2 separate regions of the Mus musculus genome follow, and region 1 is reported to be linked to region 2. Evidence: microRNA targets listed by miRTarBase, many of them from high-throughput screens and not tested one by one. Region 2 holds a microRNA gene; the other region holds the end of a gene's coding sequence.
Evidence for each region. Region 2 holds the annotated microRNA mmu-miR-1839-5p (AAGGUAGAUAGAACAGGUCUUG, at 2,190-2,211, opposite strand). A microRNA usually pairs through its seed, bases 2 to 8, with sites in the 3' UTR of a target mRNA and lowers its output. Matches are read on the target gene's strand: a 7mer-m8 pairs with bases 2 to 8, a 7mer-A1 pairs with bases 2 to 7 and ends in A, and an 8mer does both.

Region 1: the mRNA of Azi2 is a reported target of mmu-miR-1839-5p. The part of its 3' UTR that is shown has no 7-base or 8-base seed match.

The regions. Positions count from the first base shown.
Region 1 is chr9:118,061,786-118,064,785 of GRCm38, forward strand. It overlaps Azi2 (5-azacytidine induced gene 2), which reads left to right. Exons shown (of 8, transcript NM_013727.4): 8 at 1-3,000. The coding sequence ends at 341. Cmc1 (COX assembly mitochondrial protein 1) reads right to left here. Exons shown (of 4, transcript NM_026442.3): 4 at 2,737-3,000. Among named protein-coding and RNA genes, the nearest start is that of Gm51660, 10 kb to the right of the region's middle.
Region 2 is chr7:81,528,598-81,532,129 of GRCm38, reverse strand. Mir1839 (microRNA 1839) reads right to left here and starts at 2,214; the gene lies at 2,142-2,214. It overlaps 2900076A07Rik (RIKEN cDNA 2900076A07 gene), which reads right to left. Exons shown (of 4, transcript NR_160675.1): 2 at 3,190-3,343; 3 at 2,603-2,783; 4 at 632-919.

The DNA.
Region 1 (3,000 bases), not on the chromosome of region 2:
CAACTTACAAAAGACATCCCTCTTTGTCACCAAATGGCAAAGCTCCTTGTTATGCTCCGTCTTCCCCTTTACCAGGAGATAGAAAGGTTTTCTCAGACAAAGCAGTTCTTCAGTCATGGACAGATAACGAGAGATTGGTTCCTAATGACGGTGCAGACTTTCCAGAGCACAGCTCCTATGGGAGAAATTCTCTGGAAGATAATTCCTGGGTATTCCCAAGCCCTCCTAAATCAAGTGAGACAGCATTTGGTGAAAATAAAAGCAAAATCTTACCTTTATCCAACCTGCCGCCACTGCATTACCTGGATCAACAGAATCAGAACTGCCTTTACAAAAGTTAATTTCACTTGTGATTTGATCAGGAAGACACGGACTCAGGGGTTCTCCCAAGAGATTGTTCAAACTGAAAGTGGACTTTGATTGATGGCTTGTGCAGTTCTCCAGTATGTACATTTGTACATTCTGTATAACATTATATATGTAATTGATTTTCCAGTATGGGAACCTCCAGTTGTACCTTTGATAACAATTATACATTTTTGCTTCTTGGATAGAGTGGAAATGAAAATTTTAGGCATGGTTTTATAAAGTATGTGACCTGCCTAAATATCCAATCATTAAATAAAAAGCAGCCTTTAGTATAAAAGAAAAAACATGTCTGCTGGTTTAGATTGTATCAAGAAGCAAGTAAGAGTAGGTTGAGCTTCTGTAAATTCCTGATACATAAAGATTTGAAATATAATGGAATAAAAGTAGGTTATGACATCTCTATGCTATTGTTTCAAGTTTTAAGATTTAAAATCATTTTTAAGTAAAATGTTTGTATATACAAATTTAAAGTGCAATTTGAATTCTAAGACTTGAATTAATGACTATTGAAGCCAACTTTTTCCCAGTATATTTAAATCCTAAATAGTTAAAAATGATGTGGTATGTGAATAAACTATTATAACCTTATACAATGTCCAGTTAAAAGAAGAAAGAGCATCTCACAGGGCAGTCTCTTCAGTGATGTGTAGTGAACCTCCCGTGTGGTCATTTTCAGCAGGACAGCTATTTGTTTTACACAGAGCAGCTTACACACTGTTAGATATGACATTTGAGAAAGTAAATGCTAATTAGCTGCATCTAGAACTAAATCTTGTGCTGTACAATTGTGAAATATCCCAACTCATTCTAAGTGCCCAATCACTTGTAAATAAGTAAAGAAATAACAAAGATGGCTTCATGTGGAAATTCATCTAAATTTTTTCAAGGTGGAAGCATTAAGAGTATTAGTAATCATGTATTACCTGTTTGATGTAAGAAGACTTTATCCTTTTCTAAGTGCCATTTCATGTATCTTGAATTCAGAGGATCTCTGACCTTGTATCACTGAATAGAATGCATAGCCAGGCACTGTTCACTGTTGAGTTATCTCAGTCACTTACTCATGCCTGTCCGTGATTAATGGAATTGATGTCAGATACTGGAATGTGTTCTGACCAATGAACACAGCTGACTCGAGGGAGTACAGGCTCCTGCCAAGTAATACAACAAGACCCAATATGCATAAAACAAATACACAAGCCCAGGCTCTAGCTGAAGGCACTAACTGACTGTGTAATAAGAAAGCAAACGCAGTTCTCGTGTGACTGCGGAGGCTGTCCATCATCTTAGGACTGATGTAGCTTAATGGTTTGCTTTTTTTCAAACCAAGATGAGAAGTTTTCTTTTGTAAAGAGAGTCTTATAATGTTTTTGAACAATGCCAAGAAATTGTTTTAATTAAAATTATTTTTGTTTTTAAAATGGAATTGGATGTGAAATACTGTCCTTGCCTATGTATATTTCCAAAGTCTGGTATTAATTTTATTTCTCCAACATACTCTGAATGGAGGGAATCCCCTCTAACTAGTAGTAACCGTTATCAAAAAGGATTGCTAGAACAGTCTGATGGGTGTTAACAGTCAAAGTGTTAAAAGCTTGTGTAAGACTCCTTAGCTAGAAAAGAGAAACCCTAAAATATTCTTACCTGGTCAGAAAATGTTTAAATATATACTTAGTCAATGGTAACAGCTGTATTTTGTGATTCATTAAAATTGACAGTCCCGTTGGTCCTTTTCATACTAGCTGACAACCCCAACAAGCTTCCCTAAATCTAATTAAGCTCACCTGTAACTCATTAATATTAGGACACAACCGACAGTAGCCACATGCTCCTTCCTCTTGGTCCTTTATTGTATTGAGCCAACGCCAAAATAGAACTGCCCCATGAACCTGTAAAAACCGGGGATCCAAAGACACATCTGCAGCAGGTACACTAGTCAGGCAAGCGGTGAATGGGAACACAGTTTATCTAGTACCTACTGGTTTCGAGACACACAACAGAAATCTTGTTACTATGTCACTGGCTTCTTGTAGTAACTGTACCTTTTCTTTGAGTCACTGAAAACAACTGTAGCCCTGTCCAATAGAAATGTGCCAGTGCCAACAAGGCCAGCGCAGAGATAATGGGCTGCTTGGCCTTTCCCCGTGCTGCAGTATCTTCCTGAGTTTGCTCTGCTTGGCCTCCAGTCACCTTCTGTTGATCTGTGCTTTGGGAGAATGGGTTCTTTGAGTTTCAAACAAAAGTAAAGTAGTTCTTTGGTGAGTACACTGTGAAGCTTGAACATGCATTCATTGACTAGGTTCATTTCATTTGAATGAGAAATTTTTTTCATAGGATTGGAGCCAAAGTTAAATCTTGCCTTCCTGGTTTTTTTAAAATAGTTTTTAATATAAAAAGCTCAGACTAGGGTAACACACTAAAAGAGAAACTTACCACAGTTCCTCCCAAACCCCCAATATCACAAAACAGAAGTTCACACTAACAATGCCAACTTCTTAAAATCCAAGATTATACAGTATTTTCAGTAGCCAAGTTCAAAAGATCAAGAAACAATGCAGAAACTTTTCTGTCAAAGGTTTCAGTAAAATAATTCACCAAATCTCATCTGTTTTCACATAAGCCTCTGATGGC
Region 2 (3,532 bases):
GCTCCATTGCTGGCTCCCCTGTTCACATTTCCAATCCCCAACTCAAGTCACTGTCAAAGCTTAGCACTCCAGCTGCAGAGTAATAACTTCACTTGAGAAAAACCAGGACACTGTTGAGTACCAAGTCCCCTGATGCCGCCAACGCAGGTGTGTCCTACTCACTGCCCAGGGAGACACTCTTCTCTTTAGAATTTTGTTTTCTAGCCCACCCTAATTCTGATGCAGTAACAACTCTCGTCTCCTTCTGGACTCTACTAGTGCAAGCAGCAGCTCAGATTCCTGATTTATCACTTGCCCACAGAGCTTGTCTGTCTGTCTGTGTCTCTCTGTCTCTCTTTCTCACACACACACACACACACACACACACACACACACACACACACACACACACAACTTCTTCTTACCCTGACATAAGGCACTGCAGATGTAAACACAAGCTGGCTGAAGCTGTTAATGAAATATGCATGTGTATTTAGTGAAAGAAGTTCTCTACTACTGAAATAGAAACCACCAAATGGGAAACGTGGATCACAGGCATGGGCAGTTTGAGTTGTCTACTGGGATTCCTGCACTGCTTTGCACATAACACAAATATGGGGACATGACTAAAACATAATACCCAAAAAATTTTGATAGTTTTTTTTTTATTTAACAAGATATCTTTGACATTTAAAATTTACTGGAGTAAGGGATAACCAACTTCAAGCATCACAGTTACTAACCATAAAGAACTTTGTTTAAGCATGTTATCTTTAGGAAGAAAAATAAATCTTAAAAAAAAAAAATGAGGGGGGAAACCCTGCTGGGTCTGTGATATATTCCAAGTCCTTATAATCCCATGTAGAAGCTGATGAAACTCAATTTCAAACAGGGGCAAGGTTTACCTCATGGCCATGTGCAGCTGCAACCTCTGATAAATCTGTTAAAACACAAAACAGATAAACATTTAAAAACATTTTTTTATATGTGAGTATCTGTATGTTTGTTTGAGATAGGGTCTCACTATGTAGCCCTGGGGGGCCTATAACTCGGCCAGGCTAGCCTTGAACTCCACGCTCAACATAGAAAAGTATCTTTAACACTGAGACCACTGTCACACGACCCTGATACTAAGCAGATAAACCAAACTCCATCAACATCCGCTCTTCTCCCGCTTTACCTGCCCCACCGCGTTAACTCTTGACTGAGTGAGCGCACGGGTGTTGGCTCCACACCCTAGCAAAGGGGAGAGAGTCTGTAAAGCCTTCACAGGACGTGGGTGGAAACTGCAAGCATTTAAAAGCCACACTACCCAGAACATAACAAGTAGCAGAGAGAAGGAACAAGTAGTTAGGAACATGGGCTATAAAACAGCATTGGCTTCTGGTAAACTAAATAGCTTTCATTCACAGAATTACTTTTTTTGTTTTGGACTTTGTTGGTGGTGGTGGCTATTTGGTTTGGGTTTTTTGAGACAGTGTCTCACCAGGTAGCCCAAGATGACCTTACACTTGTGGCAAGCCTCCTGCTTCAGCTTCTCAAATGCTGAGATTACATGCATGAGCCACTATAAATGGCAAAAAATTGGTATGTTTAATGGCTGGCTCCTGGGGCTGGTAAGGGTACTTGTTACCAAACCTGAGGACCTGAGTTCAATCCCCAAATCCGACACCATGGAAGGAGAGTTGTCTTTGAACTTCATGTGTGCCACGGCACATAAGCCCCCTCTTCACTCTTCATCACACACACACACACACATACACACACACACACATATCAGCTCCCTGCCTTTTCAAATGATGGTAATCACTTGTGCACATGAAATAAAATATTTCTGAAGCGTGTACTTGCCCTTTAGTACAAACAGAACCAGTTTATGGGCAGCTGGGCGTCTCAGCGTCTCACCCTCACATCTGGTACAACTACTGCCCTACGTGACCCACCTACAATTCATTGTGATGCAGAATTGTGTAAGTGACAATACACTTTTTGGATTCCTCAAACCTGCATTATAGGAAACAAGTTCTCAACTTTCTAACCCGCCTGTCTGACCTCCAAGCACCTTTCTATCACTAGTAGAGACTGTGTCCACTCTGGCTTTCCCAGCCTTCCTCATCTAGGAGTTCACTGCACCCACTTCTTGTAGGAAGACTGTGGGACGTAGGCAATGGCTGTTGGTAGATAAGTAGGTCTTGAATTTATTTTGCAAACAAGACCTGTTCTATCTACCTTTTCATGTAGGAGGCTAAAGGCAGAGTCAGCTTGACTTCAAGGACTCTATTGTCTTAGTCTCCAGAAGAATATGACTAAATCCACCTATTGTTTTAACTGAGCATGCCTGGAATCCCAGAACTTAGAAGGTAGAGTCAGGAAGATCAAGGGTTCAAGGTAATCCTATGCTCAATAGCAAGTCTAAAGCCAGCCTGTGCTGCATGAGACCCTGTCTGAAGAAACTAAACTAGAAGTTAGGCATGCTGGCTCAACCCTGTAATCTTGGCACTTAGCAGGCTGAAGCAGGAGGACTGCCAAGTCTAAGTCAGGACAACAAAATGAGACCCCAGTCTTAAACCCTTGTGTTACAGACAAGATCTTTAAGAGCCATGAACGCTGAAGACATGCTTACCTTACTGTCAATGGTTAACAGAGCTAAACGCAAGGCAACAGTTTGCCTGTCGGTATCTGCCATCAGCAAGGAGAGTACCCATGACATGGCACCATTGCCACCAAAAGAACCGCTGCTGCCTGGGTCCTGTCAGTTCACTGTGTGCCACCACATCACTGTTGGTTTTCTGCTGACACCAATCCTGGAATAAATGAGGTTAGACTCACCGTTTGACTTTCCTTCCTTTTCTCAAGCTCTAACAGAATATGGTTTCTCGTGTTCTCACTTACTCAAATTTGGCAGAACTAACCCATCATTTTTTTATAAATTATTTTTCCATAAGCCGCCAGCATTTTGCCTCTGCCATTTCCTTGCACATGGCAAACATTAATCTAAGGGGAGAGAAGCAGCAAGAGCGAAACAGGAAGTGAAAACAAGGCCGGCACACTGGGAAAAGTGTAAGACTCCGTACTGTCTTATTACCATGTACACTGTATAAGCCATCAACTAGGAGATCCCTAACACCTACAGCGCAGCTCCTCCTGTCCTCCTGATGGCTCTAAATCACCTCTGAGACGCACTGGCTGACTCCCACCTCTCACACTCACCGTTTACAGAACACTCAAGTGTTGATATTGCGACCACTGGCTTGTGTCTTCTCCACTTGAATTACACACATCTAAGGCATGGGTGTGGCTGCATATTCTCTGCATGACCCAAGGCAACAACTGCCCTGGGCTTTCAGGTAATACATATATATACCTGAAGAGAGAAATGAGACATCAACTTATCCCACAAATCAAAGGAAAGCTTTTCCATTAGAAATCAAAGCAGCCGTCCAGTGTATGCTCTTGGGGCTGTGGGATGAGGCTAAGTTGTCTTCTGTCCTAATACCTAGGGGTCTGACACAGTCCCTCAGTAATTGTAGTTACTTCTGATCTGTGCAGAGAA